4 linked regions of the Callithrix jacchus genome follow. The protein of the gene in region 1 purifies or fractionates together with the protein of each later gene. This does not show direct contact. Links are inferred from orthologs where the notes say so. Each region holds a gene or a part of one and is shown in the gene's direction. Other genes may lie near its edges. The genes, in order: CTDSPL2, KPNA1, STK35 and PDIK1L.

The links.
Region 2: the proteins of CTDSPL2 (region 1) and KPNA1 purify together in Homo sapiens (affinity purification with mass spectrometry; 3 studies listed by BioGRID and IntAct, with this or other methods). This does not show direct contact. The link is inferred for Callithrix jacchus from reciprocal best matches to the Homo sapiens genes CTDSPL2 and KPNA1.
Region 3: the proteins of CTDSPL2 (region 1) and STK35 purify together in Homo sapiens (affinity purification with mass spectrometry; 3 studies listed by BioGRID and IntAct, counting the BioPlex papers as one, with this or other methods). This does not show direct contact. The link is inferred for Callithrix jacchus from reciprocal best matches to the Homo sapiens genes CTDSPL2 and STK35.
Region 4: the proteins of CTDSPL2 (region 1) and PDIK1L purify together in Homo sapiens (affinity purification with mass spectrometry; 4 studies listed by BioGRID and IntAct, counting the BioPlex papers as one, with this or other methods). This does not show direct contact. The link is inferred for Callithrix jacchus from reciprocal best matches to the Homo sapiens genes CTDSPL2 and PDIK1L.

Annotation. Positions count from the first base shown.
Region 1 is NC_133509.1:32,212,633-32,217,878, forward strand, and holds part of CTDSPL2 (CTD small phosphatase-like protein 2), read left to right. Parts: intron 1-3,121; coding exon 3,122-3,200; intron 3,201-3,880; coding exon 3,881-3,992; intron 3,993-5,246. UniProt on the Homo sapiens protein: Probable phosphatase.
Region 2 is NC_133516.1:80,578,592-80,583,837, forward strand, and holds part of KPNA1 (importin subunit alpha-5), read left to right. Parts: intron 1-1,917; coding exon 1,918-2,081; intron 2,082-3,533; coding exon 3,534-3,612; intron 3,613-5,246. UniProt on the Homo sapiens protein: Functions in nuclear protein import as an adapter protein for nuclear receptor KPNB1. Binds specifically and directly to substrates containing either a simple or bipartite NLS motif.
Region 3 is NC_133506.1:9,682,545-9,688,364, forward strand, and holds the start of STK35 (serine/threonine-protein kinase 35), read left to right. Parts: upstream 1-2,325; 5' UTR 2,326-2,380; coding exon 2,381-2,674; intron 2,675-3,268; coding exon 3,269-3,866; intron 3,867-5,820.
Region 4 is NC_133508.1:62,762,183-62,768,101, forward strand, and holds the start of PDIK1L (serine/threonine-protein kinase PDIK1L), read left to right. Parts: upstream 1-2,549; 5' UTR 2,550-3,141; coding exon 3,142-3,316; intron 3,317-5,055; coding exon 5,056-5,357; intron 5,358-5,919.

The DNA of each region.
Region 1 (5,246 bases):
ACTTTTGATGAATTGACCCGTGAGGAGTTTGTTATCTAACTGAAGAGCCAAGTATACAAAAACATCACCATACAGTATGGTGAGTGCTGCTACAAAGAAGTGAGCTAAATGATATGGTGTGACATATTACAGTTACTCTATTGGGATGATCATGAGAACATAGATAGAGGTAACATTTATACTGATCTTAAAAGATGAATATGAGTGACAAAAGTATTCTTTTCCTTGAGAACATAGCCAAAGAGAAAAAGAAGGTAGGAAGCTGGTGGCTTTGTTACTTTGGATGACTTATTTAAGCCCTTGAGACAGTTTCAAATACAGTTTTCTCAGCTTTAACGTGGCTATTATAATACAAGGTTTTGCAGGCTAAATGAGATATGCAAAATACTTAACATATAAGCATTTAACAAATATTCTTGGCTGGGCACCATGGTTCATGCCTATAATCCCAGCACTTTGGGAGGCCAAGGTGGGCAGATCACTTGAGCTCAGGAGTTTGAGACTAGCCTGGGCAATATGGTGAAATTCTGTCTCTACAAAAAAAAAATATATATAAAAAATTAGCTGGCCATCGTGGCTCATACACCTATAGTCCCAGCTACCTGAAGGACTGAGGTAGGAGGATTGCTTGACTTGGGAGGTCAAGGCTGCAGTGAGCTGTGTTCATGCCACTGCACTCCAGCCTGGACGACAAAGTGAGACTTGTCTTGAAAAATAATAATAAAGTAAATAAATAAAAATAAATTTTGTTTCTTTCATCAATAGGAACTTGAAACAGTAAGTAGTTGAAGATACATTTTCTTGTGCTAATTATTAGAAGCATAATATTGCCAGAGACGCACAAAAATTCTGTTTTACATCTGATGTCATCCACTGAACATACACACCAGGTTGACTCTGTCTCAAAAGGTGTTAATACGTTACAATTGGACAAAAGACTATTTTGTCTTGAAAGACTATTCTCTACTATTTCATTTCTATAGAAACATCACAGAAAGTTTTATTGGGTTCCACTTTAAATTTTTATGTCTGAGACATTACCTGTTTGGCTTATAAGTTACCTTTGTCTTCTCCTTACATTTAAGTTGTAATTATTGTCTTGGAAAATTTCCAGTATAATTTCTAAAGCTCTATCAAATGTTATGATCTTAGCTCAAACTGGGAATGAACTATGGCATGCAATATAGAATTACTTCTGGACCATTTTTAAGTTGTTTATAAATTAGAAGTAAAATAATATGTCTTATAAAGCAGTGATTTTGATCAGGCACGATGGCTCAACAGCACTTAAGGAGGCTGAGAAGGGAGGATCTCTTGAGCTCAGGAGTTTGAGACCAGCCTGGGCAGCATAATGAGACACTTTTTTGTCTCTATAAAAAAAATATTTTTAGTTATCCAGATGTGGTGGTACACCTGTAGTCCCACCTACTTGGGAAGCTGAGGCAGGAGGATTGCCTGAGCCTAGATCAAGACCACAGTGTTTGCTCCATGGCACTCCAACCTGGGTAACAGAACAGGACCCTGTCTCAAAAAAAAAAAAAAAAGACTGACTAAAAGAACAATTTCTGGCTGGGCGAGGTAGCTCACACCTGTTATCCCTGCGCTTTGGGAGGCCAAGGTGAGTGGATCACCTGAGGTAAGGCGTTCAAGACCAGCCTGGACAACATGCTGAAACCCCTTCTCTACTAAAAATACAAAAAAAATTAGCCAGGCATGGTGGCAGGCACCTGTAAGCCCAGCTACTCAGGAGGCTGAGTCAGGAGAATCACTTGAACCCCAGAGGTGGAGGTTGCAGTGAGCTGAGATTGTGCCGCTGCACTCCAGCCTACGTGACAGAGGAAGACTCCATCTCAAAAAAAACTAAAATAAAGAACAGTTTCTGCAGAGAGTAGCATTTCTTAATTTATTTTATTTTTATATACATTTTTTGAGCTGGAATTATACTCTTGTTGCCCAGGCTGGAGTGCAGTGGTGCGATCTTGGTTCATTGCAACCTCTTTCTAGGTTCAAGCAATTCTTCTGCCTGAACGTCCTGAGTAGCTGGGATTACAGGCATGCGCCACCACGCCCGGCAAATTTTGTATTTTTAGTAGAGACGGGGTTTCTCCATGTTGGTCAGACTGCTCTCGAACCCCTGACCTCAGGTTATCCGCCCACTTTGGTCCTCAAAAGTGCTGGGACTGCAGGCAAAGCCATTGTGCCTGGCCACATGTCTTAAGTTTTCAAGATTGTAGTCTTGAGATTCCTGGAAACATGTACATACAATTTTTTAAAAATAAGTCTGAAAAGGGTTCATGAACCTTTTAAAGACTGGATCTCAGGTTTAAAAACTACATTTGGGCCAGGCACGGTGGCTCACACCTTTAATCCCAGCGCTTTGAGAGGCCGAGGCAGGCAGATCACGAGGTCAGGAGTTCGAGACCAGCCTGACCAACATGGTGAAACCTCATCTCTACTAAAAATACAAAACTTAGCCAGGCATGATGGTGCATACCTGAATCCCAGCTACTCAGAAGGCTGAGGCAGGAGAATTATTTGAACCTGGGAAGCAGAGGTTGCACTGAGTTGAGTTGTGCCCATTGCACTCCAGCCTGGGCAACAGAATGAGACTCCGTCTCAAAAAAACAAAATAAAACAAGAACATTTGGGTCTAATGTCAGGATACATTTACTGACTGCCTGTGTACACAAGGTGCTTTTTGAACTATTGCCCCTATAAGAGCACCATGAAATTTTTTTTGGTTATTACATGTAAACATCATACAAAAAAAGAGATTCCTTTTTTTAGAGTATGTTTTTCTATTAATAAGTAGTACATTTTCTCTTAGCTGATAAACATCTTAATTCTAGCTATGATCTGATTTGCCATTTTGTCTGTAGTGGTCATTTTTCCCTTTAGATCTAAAGTTAGATCTATATATTAATAAATTTGCTTTTATGTGTTGTTTACAAATTATTTGTCTTTAATCTAAAATACACAGTGTTTCAGGAAGATCTTATATAGAAGCAGTAAAAATGTGTATTATAGGGCTTCAGGAAGATCTTACATAGGAGCAATAAAAAAGTGTATTTCTTGAAGCATTAAGTAAAAACAACGTTTTGTCTTTCACTGTGTTAAACAGCGCCAGTAACTCCAGATAGTGGTTATTCATCAGCCCATGCAGAGGCCACCTATGAAGAAGACTGGGAAGTATTTGACCCGTGAGTTAGTTAGTTGTTTCCTTCCTTCCTTCCTTCCTTCCTTCCTTCCTTCCTTCCTTCCTTCCTTCCTTCCTTCCTTCCCTCCCTCCCTCCCACCCTCTCCGCCTTCCTCCCTACCCCCCCTTTCTTTTGGAGCATGATGAAAGTTCATTATATATGTGGATTGGTGGCTAAGTAGTATATTGCCAAGATATGTAATCTGTAGGTATTAGAACTTTTACTGTGTATATAATCTATAGGTATTACATATATATACTGGGTATATAACCTGTAGGTATTACAACTTTTACTGCTGGGTGCAGTGGCTCATCCCAGCACTTTGAGAGACCCAGGCAGGCAGATTGTTTGAGCCCTGGAGTTCAAGACCAGCCTGGGCAACATGGTAAAACCTGTCTCTATAAAAAATACAAAAATTGGCTGGGTGCGGTGACACATGCCTGTAGTCCCAGCTATTGGGGAGGATCACTTGAGCCCAAGAGGCAGAGGTTACAGTAAGCTGTGATAGAGTGAGTTTGATTTATAGAGATACTAATTTCTATATTTTTACTTTTATTAACATATTTGATAAGTTTTATTTTCTGGGTCAACTGCTTTGTAGACTTTTAAATGGACTGAGCTTAGTAATATTTTATATTTATAAAAAGTAAAATGTTGAAATTTTTTAAAAATCTGATTTATAGCTATTATTTCATCAAACATGTCCCACCACTGACAGAAGAACAACTAAATAGGAAACCTGCTCTTCCGTTGAAAACAAGAAGCACACCGGAATTCTCCCTAGTTTTAGACTTGGTAAGTCTCTAAAGGTAGAGAATAAATGGGTGAAATTTTTTTTTTTAATCATGTCTATATTAGCTTTCTCCTTTTTTGTTGGGATCATGTTTTCCTGAAGGACCAAATATAGTTTGGGTCAACTGAATTAACCATATGCAAGACTATAACCCTTATTTATATATATATATATTATACCAATAAACTTTTGATTAATAGTCTTAAAAGCACAGTTTCTTAATACTAACAAAGTTTTTAATCTGATCTCCGATATGATTTAAAAATTTGTATTTTAGGGGCTCAGGGCGGTAGCTCATGCCTGTAATCCAAGAATTTTGGGAGATCAAGGTGGGTGAGTTGAGACTAGCCTTACCAACATGGTGAAACCCATTTTCTACTAAAAATTCAAAAACTAGCTGGGCATGGTAATACGCACTGGTCATCGCAGCTACTTGGGAAGCTGAGGCACGAGAATCCTAAAACCCAGGAGACAGATGTTGCAGTAAGCTGAGATCATGCCACTGCACTCTAGCCATGGTGACAGAGCAAGAGTCTTTCTTGAAAAACAATGATATTTTAGGGTATTTATCTCCTATTTGCTAACCAAATTTAATATATAGTCACATTTCCCATCTGCCTCTAATTTCTTACTGATTTTGCATTTTTTAAATTTGTTTACTTTTTTTAAGGCTAGTAAAGTAAAGCAGTGGGATTGGGGGAGGAACTAATTTTTGATATTGGTAACAAATGAATCTCATGTCATATTGGAAAATATTATTAAGTATTTGTTTCTGGTACCCTATAATTGGAGATGTGATTTAGTTCTCATAGAAAATTTATCTTAGCCAGGCACGGTGTTTCATGCCTGTAATTTCAGAACTTTGAGCCTACATTTGGCCTAGGAATTCAAGACCTGCCTAGACAACATAGTAAGACCCACGGTGCTACAAAAAATGAATGGGCCTGGTGGTGCAACCCTGTGGTCCCAGCTACTTGGGAGGCTGAGACAGGAGGATCCCTTGAGGCCAGGAATTTGAGGTGGCAGTGAGCTACGATTTTATCACTGTACTGCAGGCTGAGCAGCAAAGCCAGATATCATTTCAGTTTTAAAAGAAGGAAAAAGCCAGGCACATGGCTCACATCTATAATCCCAGCACCTTGGGAGGCCGAGGCAGATGGATCACAAGGTCAGGAGTTTGAGACCAGCCTGGCCAAGATGGTGAAATCTCGACTCTACTAAAAATTCAAAAATTAGCCGGGTATGGTGGCACACAC
Region 2 (5,246 bases), on another chromosome or scaffold:
GCAGAAAAAATGCAATTATAAGAGTATAGCAACCAATAGTAAGGTGAACAGAAAGATAATTTTTGTTAAAACTTAAAATGTTAGAATTTTATCTGTTTTTGGAGAAACAGGGTTTTTGTTTTTTTTTTTGGTTCCCTTTATTATTTGAAAAGCAAATTTAAAGCATAGCTTGAAGATGCACATTTATGTAGGGGCTGCAAATAAATAAAAGCATAGCATAAAGGGAGAATTTGTAAAGCTCATTGAAATGAGACTTCATACAATTAGTATACTGTATTAAGAGACTCTTCAGTTCTCCTAAAACAGTGGTTCTCAAAGTATAGTCTGGGAGTCCATGAGATTTTTTTTTTTTTTTTTTTTTTGCAGTAGGTTTTAGGGGAACAGATCAGGTGTTTGGGTACATGAGTAAGTTGTTTAGTGGTGATTTTTGAGATTTTGGTGCACCCATCACCCAAGCAGTGTACAGAGTACCCACTGTCTAGTCTTGTATTTCTCACCTACCTCTCATCCTTTACCCCAGAATCCCCAAAGTTTATTGTATCAATCTCATGCTTTTGTGCCCTCATAGCTTACATCCCACTTATGAATGAGAACATCTGATGTTTGGTTTTCCATTCCTGAGTTACTTTACTTAGAATAATGGTCTCCAGTTCCATCCAGGTTGCTGCAAATGCCGTTGTTTTGTTTCTGTTTATGGCTGAGCAGTATTCTATGGTATATATATCACAGTTTCTTTATCTACTTGTTGATTGATGGGCATTTGGGCTGTTTCCATAATTTTGCAATTGTGAATTGTGCTGCTGTAAATATGCGTGTGCAAGTATCTGTGCACGTTTGTAGCAGTGGAATTGCTGGATCAAATGGCAGATCTACTTTCAGTTCTTTAAGGAATCTCTGTACTATTTTCCATAGTGGTTATACTAATTTACATTCCCCTTTTCACCACATCCATGCCAACATTTATCGTGTTTTTGTTTTTTTGAGACAGGGTTTCGCTCTTGTTGCCCAGGCTGGAGTGCAGTTGTGCAGCACACTGCAACCTCCACCTCCCAGGATCAGGCGATTCTCCTGCCTCAGCCTCCTGAGTAGCTGGGATGATGGGCACACACCACCATGCCCGGCTGATTTTTGTATTTTTAGTAGAGATGGGGTTTCACCATGCTGGCCAGGCTGGTCTTGAACTCCTGACCTCAGGTGATCCACCCACCTCAGCCTCCCAAAGTGCTGGGATTACAGGCATGAGCCACCACATCCCGCCTGTTTTGATTTTTTGATTATAGCAATTCTTGCAGGAGTAAGATGGTATAACATTGTGGTTTCAATTTGCATTTCCCTGATAATTAGTGATGAGCGATGAGCATTTTTAAATGGTTTTTGGCTATTTGTATATCTTCTTTAGAGAATCGTCTGTGTCCTTAGCCCACTTTTTGATGGGATTGTTTTTTTCTTGCTGATTTGAGTTTCTTGTATATTTTGCATATTAGAAGAAACAGGATTTTTTTTTGGTAGTTGTTTTTAATTTGGAATCATTTTTCACTGAATTCATCTTAAAACCCTAGCATTTTTGGTCTAAAGTATCTAAAATACAGAATTTCTTAGCTTTCACATTTTTGAAAGTTTCTTTACCTCTTTAGTCCACAAAGAATGTGTTTTGACAAGGAATCTCACTCCAAGAATTGATGTATATAAAACTTTATGATCTGAAATTAATTTCCTTGGGCTCTGACTACAAATTAGTGCAAGACCACTGACAGCATTGTTAAAGATGGAACTGCCACTTAGGTACTTGTTGTTTCTTGAGAAGTGTAAATCACTCAAGAAGTCACCAAATTTATGCCTGGCTGCCTTCTTGAGTATCTCACCTCACTTCTGGCTTCTAGTCTGTTGGATTTCATAATCATCATTTTCCTTTTATAGGTTTCCCCATGTCTGAATGTGCTTTCCTGGTTGCTGTTTGTCAGTGACACTGATGTACTGGCTGATGCCTGCTGGGCCCTCTCATATCTATCAGATGGACCCAATGATAAAATTCAAGCAGTCATTGATGCGGGAGTATGTAGGAGACTTGTGGAGCTGCTGATGTAAGATATGTTTTAGAAAGTGTGTTCACTTTTTTTCCCTTGGTACTAGTTTTCTAGCTACTAATACTTAAATATTAATTGATTGTATATTATATTGGTTTATTGTGCTTTGGGCTACTATTTTTTGTTACTTGTTTATGTTGATGGCAGATCTGTTTGTCTTGTTTTATTGAGGCTTATAGAGAACCTCTTACTCCTCTGCTGTTAGCAGGCCTTTAGCAGAAATATTTGGAAAACTCTGATCTGTGTAGTTACAGTCTCATACTGGATGACCCGAGATCAACCACTGGACATCAGAAGATACACTGCCAATAAAATAGTCATTCCTTATCTTTCTGTCTCATTTAGAGCTTATTTAAGACAAGTATCAGAAACTGAATCTTACTTTGGTTTATCACCTTTGTGCTGCTTTTGATAATGCAGTAGAAGATTTACTCGTTAAATAAATAATTTGAGACTGTCTTAATCAAATTTTTAGATACGACAGAAGAAAAAAGTGATAACATAATGGAGAAATGGTACAACTACAAGCAACTGGAAATTTAATTAAAGTACAAAATAGATGCGAGGAGACATTGTCTCAAACATGACATTTGGAATAGATTAGATAGTTATAATATGTTAATACAAAATACAACATTATAGCTGGCTGCAGACTGAATGCAGAGCAGTATTGTAGTGCTAATGTGAATGAATGGCAGGCAGTATGATGCTGCAGGAGTCAGTACATCATTCAAAATCTGGGAAGTAAACCTTTGCATTCTTTATCCATTAGACTACTATATATTTTAGCCATTTCTTTTTAATAATCACATCTAAAATGTGAAGGAACTGGCAGTTTTTAGATGAGTGATCAGCCTTATTAAAGGGGCGGGAAAAGTAGGACCCTTAAAGAAAATCAAAAGTTTGTGTGTGTGTGTGTATGTATAGCTTTGTGGAGGGATTTTCAACCAGTAAGGGAGGGGTTTTCAACCAGTAAGGCAGCTTAGTAGGTTTAGTTGAAAGACCTTTATATTTGGAGTGTGACTCCTGACTTGCATTTTCAAGTTAGTTCGGCTGTTGATGTGTTGTTTTTAACCTCTGTGAAAATTAAGACAATTTATAAAACTTAAAACATGTTGCATAAATATTAACTATTGTTCTCCGTTATCTCAGCAACCATACAAGACCAAGTAAAGAGGAAATGAAACCTAAATTAAAGAATGAGAGGGAAAACTTGGAATCCAGGTGATGGAATACCTGGGAAAGATTCCTAGGAAAGATTGGTAGTTTTTTCCAAATGTACTAAAATAAAGGGAAAGACAGTAGGGGACATGATAAGAGTTCCCTTAATTACCCCCATAGGTACCTTTCTGCTCTAAAATTCTATCATAATTTTTTTTAATTTTGGTTCTAAGGAAATGAGACTAAGGATAGAACTGTTGGCTATAACATTACTTTTTATTTTTTCAGGCATAATGATTATAAAGTGGTTTCTCCTGCTTTGCGAGCTGTGGGAAACATTGTCACAGGGGATGATATTCAGACACAGGTATGAAGAAGTGATAATTGTTTCTTTGTTCCTTTAAAAAGAGTACTACATTGGCTGGGCATGGTGGCTCACACCTGTCATCTCAACACTCTGGGAGGCCGAGGCAAGTGGATCTTGAGGTCAGGAGATTATGATCATCCTGGCCAACATGGTAAAACCCTGTCTTTACTGAAATACAAAAAATTAGCTGGGTGTGGTGGTGCACGCCTGTAGTTCCAGCTACTTGGGAGGCTGAGGCAGGGGAACTGCTTGAACATGGGAAGTGGAGATTGCAGTGAGCCTAGATTGTGCCATTGCACTCCAGCCTGGTGACAGAGCGAGACTCCATCTCAAAAAAACAAAACAAAAAAACAGTACATTGAACTTCATGATCATATTTCTATTATAGTATTTAACTTCATATTATTAGGGAAATTTGATACTGTGTTTCACTAATGTTTAAAAATATTGAGCCAGTGCAGTGGCTCATGCCTGTAATCCCAGCACTTTGGGAGACAGAGGTGGGTAGATCGCCTGAGCCCAGGAGTTTGGCACCAACCTGGGCAACATGGCGAAACCCTGACTCTACTAAAAATAAAAGAAATAGCCAAGTTCAATGTACTGTTTTTTTGTTTTGTTTTTTTGAGATGGAGTCTCGCTCTGTCACCAGGCTGGAGTGCAATGGCACAATCTAGGCTCACTGCAAGCTACTGGGAGGCCGGAGAGTCTCTTGAACCCAGGAGGCAGAGGTTGCAGTGAGCTGAGATCGCACCACTGCACTCCAGCCTGGGTGACAGAGCAAGACTCTGGCTTAAAAAAAATAAAAACACAAAAACGTTGGTTTAGGCATCTACTCTCAGTACCTTCAGCATCTCTGACTTGACCTGTTGATTGTAGTAATTTGGGGTTCCCCTATGATAATGACTTTTCTTTTGGTGAGAAAGATTTGTTTGTCTTCACTATTTGAAATGGTTCTCACGAGCATTCGAAGCCTCTAGTAGCATCTTTTCTCTGCCTGCGTCATCTCAATATCACCTTCTGATAGCTTTCTCCTTCTGTACATGGTAAGTCTCCTGTGTAAGGAAGATTCTTCTCTTTCTAATGTCATTGTCTATTCCATTCAACTTCTGTATCAAGAGACACCATTTACAGTGCATTGTTATAGCCATATTTCTTCTTGAAATCTTAGCTGCATTGTGATGTTGAAGTCTTTTAGTTCTTCTTCCTCATTGACCATTTATTTCTCCCTCGGGAGCTCATTTTCCTCTTGTCTCCTTTAGTGGGCATCCTCCATAGGGCAATGCTTCAGCCTCATTCGTAGATCTTATTTATAATGTTGGTGATCACCCTTGTGTGCATGGATTGAGAATTGGGAATTGGGTTTTAGTCTTAGCTTTTTCTTCACTGGTTCTGACTTTCAGCAATACATTTAATGCCTTTTTTATCTCTAAAATTAAGGAGATCGGATTTGTTCTCTCAGATGTCTTCTAACTGTTAGGTATTTACTTTAAATTTATTCTGTACACAAGGAAACTCATTTCCCCCTGTGTAATCTGAACTTCTGTTTATGTTCCCTGTATCAGTGAATGGCACCAACAGTTCCCCTCGAAACCTGGACATCAACTTGATTTTTTCCTCTCCTCCACCTCTCTCAT
Region 3 (5,820 bases), on another chromosome or scaffold:
GGGTATATTCCCAAAAGAAAGGAAATCAGTATTTCAATTTTCCAGTGTTTTTTGCAGCTCTGTTCACAACAGCCAAGATTTGGAGGTAACCTAAGTGTCCATCAACAGATAAATGGATAAAGAAAATGTAGTTCTTATACACAATGGAGTATTACTCTGCCATTAAAGAGAATGAGATTCAGTCATTTGCAATAACATGGACGGAACCAGAGATCATTATGTTAAGTGAAATAAGCCAAGCACAGAAAGAAAACATTGCATGTTCTATTTGTGGGATCTAAAAATCAGAACAACTGAACCCATGGAGACAGAGAAAGTAGAATGATAGTTACTGGAGGCTGGGAAGGGTGGCGGGGGAATCAGAGGATGTGAGAGGGTAAGTAACGAAGATTGTTAATGGTCATGTTTAAAAAGACTTTCTGATCACCATTTTGCAACCGTAATAATTGTTTCAAGCAAGAATCCGCATGAATTCTAAAACCAGTGGGTAAGAGTCTGGTGAAGAACAGGATATTTAAACAGTCTCAAAATATCTTCCCACAGGATACTTAATAGTTACAAAAGGAAAAATTGTAACTTTATGGTGGCGTGTACCTCCCCCTACACAACCTCAACCAAATGATGGAAGTTAATACCACGAATACCGGGACAAATACAATGTCATGTGCCTCCTGATGAAAGGCCCTGAGGAGGCAACTCTTTTCAGTAACATTCCTGCCAGAAAATGCAAACCCTCACCCTCTCAGAATAGCAAGGGATGGGTAGGTAATGTGGGGCGGGGGGGGGGGGGGGGGGAAGTGCATACTCTGCATGTAATCATAAGAAAACATTAAAATCAAAATTTAGGGACATTCTATAATATAACTCACCAGTACTCTTCCAAAATGTCAAGGTCATGAAAGACGAAGGCTGGATAACTGCCCTTCCAGGTTAAAGGAAACTAAAGAGGTATGACAAGTCAATGAAACGTGTGATCCTGAATTGCATCCTGGGGAATAGCTATAAAGAACATGATTGAGACAATTAGCAAAATTTAAATATGGATGGAGTGTATTAAATAACACAATTGTATCATTGTTAAAATTCCTGACTTTTGATCACTGTACTGAGATTATGCAAGATAATGCCTTTTTTAAAGGAAAGACATATAAATATTTGGAATAAAGAAGCTTGTTGGAAACTCTAAAATGATGTCCTAAAATATATATATATACATTATATAAGTGTGAGTGTGTGTGTGTGTGTGAATATCTATATACCATATACTGATTCCCTTTCTTTTCAGGTATAAACCATATGGATATCTACACACAATATATGTGTGTGTGTGTGTAAGATACGGAAATGCAGCAAAATATAACAATTTGTTATTCTGGTAAAAAAGTATATGATCTTTATGATTCTTGAAATTTATGTGTAAATTTGAAATTTAATCACAAAAACATTAGAGGCTTTCAGCGACTAAATACACTATCAGATATAGCCTGTCCCCAACGAGCACTCTTTAGCTCATTCTTCTTCTCCATCACACTTATCAATGGCAAAAATTATCCTTTAATACTTAACATTGACTGTGTGTAAGGCTGTCCTAAGTGCTTTATCTGGATAACCTCTGTGAATCTTCTTACAGGTGAGGTAAAAACCCACAAGAAAGTTGATTAACTTGCCCAAGGCCACCCATGTGGTTTGTCTCCTGCAGTGACACAGAACCTCAACCAAGGCAGAAACTGCCTTGTCTACTTCTCTTTCCCCAGAGACTTAAAACGGTGCCTAGCACATTACAGGTGTTCAATAGATAACGGTAGATTCAGTTAACACTGGGCACCCACTAGGCCTACACTGTAATACAAAGTACAGAACAAAATACTCAAAAATCTGTGCTTAAATGGAGCTTTGAGTATTAACTCAGCCCCACACCCAATTAGCCTCTATCTATGTATTTCATTTGGTTCTATTGTTCCTGAGAATTAAGGCCCATTTAATCCATTTAGCAGAGGATCATCAGATAAACGATGCTCAGGTTGTGGCAATGATTTGCACAAGATTACTGGGCTGGTAGAAGGGAAGGTCAGGATTCCAACCCACTCCCTAACGTTCCCAGACCGAGTTATGAATCAAAAAACCAAGACAATCACCCTATCAGTATTTATTAAGCGCCTACTGCGTACGGTTGGTCTTCACGCAGGTCAGGCGAGGAGAAGGGGTCGCGGTGCGCGGGCCGCCGCGGATCACGGGAATTTGGCGCCTATTTTTTGTTGGCTGGGTGTTCTCGCCGGTGATTGGGCCCCGGCGAGGCGTGCTGGTGCGCTCTGCTGCGGCTGCTCCGTCGACCTTGGCAGGACCAGGCGGCGCAGGACTCACTCGGCTGGCCTCCCAGGGGATGGGCCACCAGGAGTCTCCGCTGGCCCGGGCGTCGGCGGGAGGTGCAGCTTATGTAAAGAGGTTATGTAAAGGGCTCAGCTGGCGGGAACACGTGGAAAGCCACGGGAGCCTGGGAGCCCAGGCCTCCCCAGCGAGCGCCGCGGCAGCAGAAGCACCCGCCACACGCCGGGCTCGGGCCACCACCTCCCGCGCAGCTCGGTCACGGAGGCAGCCTCATCGCGGAGCGGACCATCCCCAGACAGGGGCTCCAGGAGTGAAACGGACAGCCCGGAAGCGGAGGTGCGCGGGCCAGGTAAGGGTACTGTTCGAGGACTGAAGAGCCAGCACCGAGGATGGAGTTACTGCCACTGCCTCCGCGCTCGGGGAGGGCAATCGGATTCCTCGGCCGGTCGCGCTCCGAGACACGGAACTTTTTAGCCAATCTCTTCTACCCGCCGCCCTAGGGGACTTGGGTCGGTCCGCCGGGCTCCGCTAGGGCTTAATTCAATGGACTGTTTACACCCGGGCGAACACAAGGTGGGGCGCGGGGAGGGGCGTCACGGAGGGGTACGGGCAAAGAAAAAGTTTTCCGCCGGCCGAATCGCATCTTAAGGCGGTTTTCAGAAGGCGTTAAGCTTTCTGTGTGTTCTTTTTCTTATCGCTACACGACAAACTAACAGAGAAAGGGGAGAGTTTGTGCTTTTCTTTCCGGTTCTCCCTCTGAGCCGCTGCCCAGTGGTTCCGTCTTTCCCGCTTTCCCCTCCCCTCCCCCGTTCAATCAGCGGCTGTGGCTTCCGTCTTAAAGGGGCCGCGGCGGCCGGGGGAGGAGGAGGTGGGGCGCTCCGCGGCCTACTCTCCTGGCCTCCCCGCCTCGGCCTGGTCGTTTAACCGATTCTTTGGCCTGCAGGTCACAATCCAAGGTCCCGCTCCTCCGCGTCCCGGGGCCGGACGAAGGGATGAGGCAGGGGGGGCCCGGGCAGCGCCGTTGCTGCTCCCCCCGCCGCCCGCAGCCATGGAAACGGGAAAGGACGGCGCCCGCAGAGGTACACAAAGCCCGGAGCGGAAAAGGCGAAGCCCAGTGCCGCGGGCGCCCAGCACGAAGCTGAGGCCAGTGGCGGCGGCCCAGGCCATGGATCCGGTGGCGACCGAGGCCCCGGGCGAGGCCTACCTGGCGCGGCGATGGCCAGAGGGCGGTGGCGGGTCCGCTCGGCCGCGCTACAGTCTGTTGGCGGAGATCGGGCGCGGCAGCTACGGCGTGGTTTACGAGGCAGTGGCCGGGCGCAGCGGGGCCCGAGTGGCGGTCAAGAAGATCCGCTGCGACGCCCCCGAGAACGTGGAGCTAGCTCTGGCTGAATTCTGGGCCCTCACCAGCCTCAAGCGGCGCCACCAAAACGTCGTGCAGTTTGAGGAGTGCGTCCTGCAGCGCAACGGGCTAGCGCAGCGCATGAGTCACGGCAATAAGAGCTCGCAGCTTTACCTGCGCCTGGTGGAGACCTCACTGAAAGGTAGGAGCACCGCCGTCCTTTCCACATTTGCAAGGCCTGGGTCCGCGCCTCTCCGGACGGTTTGGCACACATTGTTCCCGGCCCCCCTAGGCCTCAGACCTGGTTCCTGTCACCCTGTGCCCGGACACACCCTCCTTTTCTAGGCACAGGAATTCGGCCCTCTTTTCAGGTCCCAGGATCAGTTTCTGGGCCTAACGTTGGCTGATATTTTAATAACAAGAGCTTAAGTGCAAACCATTAACTTAATAGGTGCTCAGTAATTGTGAGCTATGGTGATTAAATGCCTACTACCTTTTTAGATCGGTCAGGGAGTGGAGGAGGTGTTGGGTTCAGTTAGTAGCAGAACTGCGGAGCCCACTCACCCTCTAGGGCCTCTCTCTTTCCCTCCCAAAACGAACAAAAAGAAAAAACTTCACTGGACCCATCCACACCCTCTCCCTGTGTGGTTCCAAGTTTCCTAACACCCTCCAGCTCCCACACCCAAACTCTTGTGGCCTCCTACTCTGCCTTTTCCTCTGAGGCCCCCAGTCCTTCATCCCAGGCAGCCAAGCAAACTGGCGGTTTTCTTGCTTGGTCCTCCGAGGCATGCAGGCTGACAGCCCTCACAGGTGGCCTGAGAGCTGTCACATAACAAAGCATTCAACATCTTTTCCCTTTGTTTTACAATCTTAATCTTTTTCTTAACCTCAGAGGCTGGCTGGGAAGTGGTTTTACTTAGAAGGAAAATGGGGTTCATTGAGGCAAGTGGTCTTCAAGTCCTGGAAGAACTAATTACCTTAATTTCCCGGTTTTGACTGCCGTTAGGGACCGTGTTCATCCTAAATACTCGGTACCCACAAGCCTTGTTCCTACTACTGCTGTTAGCTAGGTGTCTTCACGGAGAGGAGGAGAGGGACATTGGAAAGTTTGAGGAGACTTTCTGAGGCAGGAGGATCCAGGGGAAGAAAGTTGACTAATCCGAGGCCCAGCTGTGGTCTTAGCGCTGAAGTAATTTTTAGGTAATAACTTCAAAAGTAAATTCTGTCCTCTTTCTATAAATAGAGAAACTAGGCTTAGAAGTGAACAAATAACTTGATCAGGGTTAATCTGCTTGAAAGGGAAGTTTGACTATGCTCCTGGTTTCCTTAAGTTTCTCAGAGCTTAAGTGATGGGGAACCCAGATCTGTCTTGATTCAAGGCCTGGGTCCTTTCAAAGGTGTAATGCTGTTCTCCCTACCCTGAGGATGAACTTTTAAGAATGGGTAGGATTTGGGGTGAGTTTGGAGGGGGTGGTCTCCTAAAATCTTCTTTGGGGCTTTTGCCCAACTTTAAGATTCCCCAAGCCTTTCCCAAGAGAACACTTTTTATTCCATTGCAAGTCAGTTGTTTGACGGTGGAATTGGAAACATGAATCAGTATCACCTAAATCCCTTTAAATAGATGTCTACCTTTATGTCCATCCCTGCCCCATCCACTCTGAGAAGCCCACCCTCTCCCCAGCGTGAGTGGTTTTGTTTTGAAAAGACGTCCAGCAGAGCACAGTGACTCACAGCTAATCCCAGCACTTTGGGAGGCAGGAGGATGGCTTGAGCCCAGGAGTTTGAGACCAGCCTGGGCAACAAAGTGAGACCCCAGTCTCCACAAAAAATAGAAGAAAACTAGCCAGACATGATGGCACAGGCTTATAGTCCCAACTACTCGAGAGTCAGAGGCAGGAGGATCGCTTGAATCTGGGAGGTTGAGGCTACAGTGAGCCATGATCCTGCAGCGGCATTACAACTTGGGCTACAGAGCAAGACCCTGTTTCAAAAAAAAAAAAAAAAAAAAAAAAAAAATGCTCTCAGGGGATTCTTTTGTCTTACTTATATTCTAGGAGTGCATCACTTACTTCCAAATCCTTCCATTCTCAGACTGTCTTCTCTACTGCCAATGGACGGTCTGGACGGTCTGGACTTCCTACTAGAAGACTGCTTGA
Region 4 (5,919 bases), on another chromosome or scaffold:
TCCTCGAAATCTAGTATTTGATCTAGGGTTACTGGATCAAATAATATGGCTATATATTGCCAAACTTCTTTGTTAACAGTTATATCACTTTGCCTTCCCACCAGCAATGTATGAGAATGCAGGTGTATTTTGATATCATATCAGATTGAGGAGGCTGCAGAGATGAATCACAAAGATTCCTATCCGCAGGAATTCTCAGTCTTTTAGGAGGCCTACGGGCAACAACAACAAAAAATGACATAACATACTAAGCAGGAGGCAGATTCACCCTGAAGCTAATTAATCTTTAGCTTTGGAGTCCTTTGCTTATAGGGACCCTTTCCAGTGTTCCAGGTATGTGTTCACAGGGCCATTGTATAACCTTTTCCCTAAGGACACCGCAAATTATTTAAGTTTCAGGCCCCACAAGACCTGAACCCACCTCACGGACTTTACAGCGAGCCTAAATTTGAGAATGAGGGTGGATTTCAAATCTCATCTGCAGCTAACTTGAGAGCAAGAGTTCCTATGATATTCAATGACACACAAAGAAAACACAAACGCTACTTTGAGAGAGGTCCCTCCCGATTTGGATCAATAACCCACACAGGTAGCTAGCTGTGTACACAAAGCCTTCTATATTTTCCCTTTATTTTTTTTTTTTTGAGATGGAGTTTCGCTGTTGTTACCCAGACTGGAGTGCAATGGCACGATCTCGGCTCACTGAAACCTCTGCCTCCTGGGTTCAAGCAATTCTCCTGCCTCAGCCTCCCGAGTAGCTGGCGCGCATCACCACGCCCAGCTGATTTTTGTATTTTTAGTGGAGACGGGGTTTCACCTTGTTGACCAGAATGGTCTCGATCTCTTGACCTTGTGATCCACCCGCCTTAGCCTCCCCAAGTGCTGTGATTATAGGTGTGAGCCACCGCGACCCGAAATTTTCCCTTTACTTTTGAGGGCGGGAAATAAGTCTTGGCCTGTCACCAGTGTTTCCAGCAAACAGCTGAAGACCTGACACTTGGATGGCACTCAGGACAAAAGTCTGAACAGATTACAGAACCAATGTGGGGTTTTTTAAGGGGACAGAGTATTACACCGGGGAGTGGGTATTCAAGGTAGACACACCCCAAAAAAGACACTTCAGTAAAAAGAGGCAGAGGTGTTTCCTCATCTGCAAAAATAGGATAATAAAACCTCCCCTTGTGGGGTTAGGTTAGGGTTAAACAAGATAATTTATATATGTAAAGATAATCTCAGACTCTCGGGAGAAATAGCATAAATGGAGAACAGAAAATAAAACGGGTTGATCTTTGAGCACAGCGACAGGGATTCTTTATACATCGTGCCTTATAGAGCGAGCGCTAGGAGGAGGAACCATCACCTTGCTGACAAGTAATCGGTGCAAAATAAATCGGGGAAGAAGGAATGGACGTTTCTGGCGGATGCTTACTGATCTAACAACTGGATGACTGAGAGGTCCGGGCCTGAGTGACCCCGCGCTGGCTGTGGGGCCGACAGCGTGCAGGATCTGACTGACAGCGTGTGGCACCCGGGCGACTGCAGCAGCGGCGGAACTCCCATTGACCGTCCTGTCTCGAAAGGGCCCGGAGCGCGGTGGATCTGGGCTCGGACCGAGGCCTCTTCCGCGCGCCGACTGCAGACCGACCCTCCACCAGGAACCTCGGGGGGACGCCGCGGTCACTGCAGCCAGGTGCGGGCGTCACCGTCCCCTCCCTCCCAGCGCCAGGCAGGGGGCCCTGGCTCCCTGCTGCCACCACCGGGAAACAATGAGGCGCCGGCTTCTTTAAGGGAGATACCACCGCGCCGGCGGGGCAGGGGACGACGTCTTCCCAGATGATCGCACTCAGCCCCGCGCCGCTGCCGCCTTCTCGGCAACTGCATCGTCCGCAAACATGGCTCAGTGACTCGGACAAAAGCTGCAGCCTCCCTCCCGGCGGGGCGGACGCCAGACCTTCTTGCTCGGGCCGCGCCTCCACGCGGGCCCGCCAAAGCAGCACCGCGCCCCGCAAGCACCCAAGGCCCGCGCAGAAGATGCAAGCGGCGTACCACCCCAGCGAGCCCCGCATCCCAGCCCGCAGCTCGGTAGGTTGGAAGGGGGGTGGCGAGGGGGAGGGGAGGCCACGGCGGGGCGCACGCAGCCCCAGGCCAGGGCCTGCTGCTGCAGACCGTCCCCGGGGCCGCGTGCCCTACGCGCCCGCTGCGGCTGGAGGGTGACCGAGACCCCGCGTGGCATGGCCTCGCGGTTCTCGGACCCGGCCACCCCTGCGGAGAGCAGCACCAGTGGTGCGCTCCGTAGCGCGTACACCTCCGACTCCAGGATCTGCAAATCCTCGGGAGAGGGAGGTGGCGAGCGGAGGGCCGGCCACGCGCCTGATCAGTGGCGCGGAACTTACCGGCTCGCACTACGGAAAGCCGGAGGGGGGCGGGGCCGCCAGCGTAAGGGGGTGTGTCCGCGCGCACCACGGGGGCGCGCGCCGGCCGCTGACTGGAGGCGGCGGCTGCAGCGGAGGCGCGAGCTGCCCGATAATGGCGGCCTGCAGAGCCCGTGAGAGGGAGAAGCGGCAGCGTCTACCCTGAGGTAAATCTGGCTCTTCGGCGTGGTGGAGAGGCCCTGCTGCAGTGCCGACGGCCCTGCATGTGCCTCCCTCCCCGGGAGGCCTGTCACAGACCTGTCAGTGGAGTCATCCTGGGGAAGGCCCCGCGCCCCTCAGGCCACCGGCCCTAGCCGCGGCCTCCTCTCACACCTGGGCCACCTCCCCAAGCCCCGGCCCTCAGCCCCCGGCCCCGAGGAGTTGAGGCAGCTGCAGGGCTGGCTCCTCTGGGCAAAGGGGCTCGGGAGCCTCCCCTCCGGGCTTCATCTGAGCGCGGCCGAGGAGGGGGAGGGCCTGACACTTGGCCAATGAGCGCGGCCTGAGCCGCCGCGTCGGACAACACCTCTGGCCCGGACTGGCCCTTCACGGGCGCCGGCAGGTGTCTGGCCTGGCCGGCCCGCGTCCCGGCGCCAGGTTAGAAAGGCGAGAGCGAGGTCCCGCCACTTGCCGTCGAAAGTCGCTTAGGTTCGCACCGGATGCATCATTCGATCCGGGATCCCACGGGTTTCATAAACACCCCTCCTCCCTATTCGGGAAGGTGCTCCTCCCTATGGGGACTGTACCTGGCTGGAGAGGACATGGGACTGCTTCAGAGACACGAACCACCTTGAGTGGATGTGACTGGCGATCGCCGAAGAGCAGGAAAACTCGTCTGCTGTACAGTCGGGGCAGAGGATTCTGTGGCAGGAAATCAGACACTAGGAAATTCGGTAGCGATTTGAAGGGTGGGTGTCCGGTTAGAGGAAGTGGGACTGAAAGCAATCTCAGAAGTCCTTTCTTGATTAAATCTATCCTATGGACTTAACGCAGCGGATCCCAACTTCTCAGGCTCTAGGGTCAGTAGCTTTTTGCATTTCCCAGCTGAACAGAATAAATATTGTACAATCTCAGGTTACTTTTCTTGCCCGTGGCAACAATCTACAAAAGCGAATTCGTTCGTGAAGTTCGTTAGAATCTAGAAATTCTTTGGGGAGTAAGGAAGCACACTTTAGACTGTCTTTATTCAACACATGAGTATTTCTGTATAGGGCCTTTGCTCTCGCCTTTAAACCATTCACTAAGTTGAATTCCCAAGAACTCTGTTAGAGAGCCCATTGATATGCAGGACTTTTTTTTTTTTTTTTTTTTTTTTTTTTTAAGAGACAGGATTTTACCATGTTGACCAGGATGGTCTCGATTTCTTGACCTAGTGATCCGCCCGCCTCGGCCTCCCAAAGTGCTGGGATTACAGGCGTGAGCCACCGCGCCCGGCCCACAGAATATTTTTTGTTGGCAAAAATGACCTAGAACTATTGTTTACTCCAGCTCTCTTCTGATTAGTAAAAAGGAAACATAAGTAAAAAATTTTAAATAGCTATTGTTAAATGACTACAAAAGGTAACTGTATTCTAAGTAGCTTGCTTTATTTTTAAAGAAAAGTTTCGGGCTGGGCGCGGTGGCTCACGCCTGTAATCCCAGCACTTTGGGAGGCCGAGGCGGGTGGATCACGAGGTCAAGAGATCAAGACCATCCTGGTCAACATGGTGAAACCCGTCTCTGCTAAAAATACAAAAAATTAGCTGGGCATGGTGGCTCGTCCTGTAATCCCAGCTACTCAGGAAGCTGAGGGAGGAGAATTGCCTGAACCCAGGAGGCGGAGGTTGCGGTGAGCCGAGATCGCACCATTGCACTCCAGCCTGGGTAACTGCGTCTCAAAAAAAAAGTTTCTTCTCCATAAAGTTTATTTTCATTTATTTTGTAAGAAATAAGGAGATGACATAAGAAACAAAATTAAAATATGAATAAAAGTTTGGCCACTTTTGCATAATGAAAACAAACATTTTCAGTTCTATAAATGTTCTGGTTCACTGTCAGGCCTTAAGCATAAGCCAGGTGTTTGTATTTCTAACTGTGAGGGGGTTTTGTTTTTGCTGTTTTATGACCATTATGTCTGTGTCAGCCTGAAGGAGAAGCTGGGATTTTGCTTGCTTGCTTGTTTTTTCCTGATCAGTGGATAAGAATGCTGAATTTTGGGAATGTATTTTTAACAGTGACATTTTTCAAGCAGTTCATACAAGAGACAGTATACTGTAGTGCTTAAAATTGTGGTTGTCTGAGGCAGATGGCCTGATTTAAAATCCCAGTTCCATGAGTTACTAGCTATTGACCTTAGGCATTTCCTTTAACCTCTCCATTACATAGTTTCATCTATAAAAAGACCATACTAGTATCTACCTCATAAGATTATTATGAGGATTAACCAAATTTAATATTCGAAAGAGTTTAAAACAGTTCCTGATACATAGTAAATACTACCTGTTAGCTTTATTGTTACTATTCTTAAAATTAGATTTTCCCTAGATATAGCAAATATCCCTCAAGCACTGCAGACAGTGAAACAGATGACAAGCAAATCATATATAAAAGGAAATACAAGCCAGTAGGTATACATAATTTCAACAGAGCACTTTGTTGATTTTTCCAGAAACCTCGACCTTGAAGATGGTGAGTAGCCAGCCAAAGTACGATCTAATACGGGAGGTAGGCCGAGGTAGTTACGGTGTTGTGTATGAAGCAGTCATCAGAAAGACTTCTGCACGGGTGGCAGTGAAGAAAATTCGATGTCACGCACCTGAAAATGTTGAACTAGCTCTTCGTGAGTTCTGGGCACTAAGCAGTATCAAGAGCCAACATCCAAATGTGATTCACTTGGAGGAATGCATCCTACAAAAGGATGGGATGGTGCAAAAGATGTCCCACGGCTCTAATTCTTCCCTTTATTTACAGGTATGTGTTGTTGATTGGGAAATAGAAATGATTCGAACATGGCATTGGTCAGCAAGAGGAATGACAGGGTCAAACATTTCCCTTTAAATGCAGGTGTTTTGTAGTTAGAAGTAGATAAGTGTCTGCCAAGAATTGAGTAGATGTTTGCTTTAAAACAAGGTTTTATTTAAACCTGTGATGCACATACCTAAAAATAACATAAGCCACCTGTTATGCAATGGTACTTGCCAGTCTGCATAGGAATGGGGCAAGATAGGAGCTAGAGAAGTGCTTGAGACTACAGTCTAATAACTTCATTTCTTTGAAATCAATAATTCTGGACTTGACAGAAGAAAAGGAAAAACTCCACAACCAATAGCAACACCCTTAGGTAATTGGGCATCTCTTTTATAAATCGCTGGTTTGAATGTCAGCCTTTGCTGTTTTAGAGGGATATTTGGTTTCTTCACCATGCAATTCCAGTTAATTTTCATGAAGTACGTGGTTTAACACCTGAATGTTATTAACAGTGCTAATAGCTAACATTTGAATTCCCACTCAGTTCCATGCTCTGTGTTAAGTG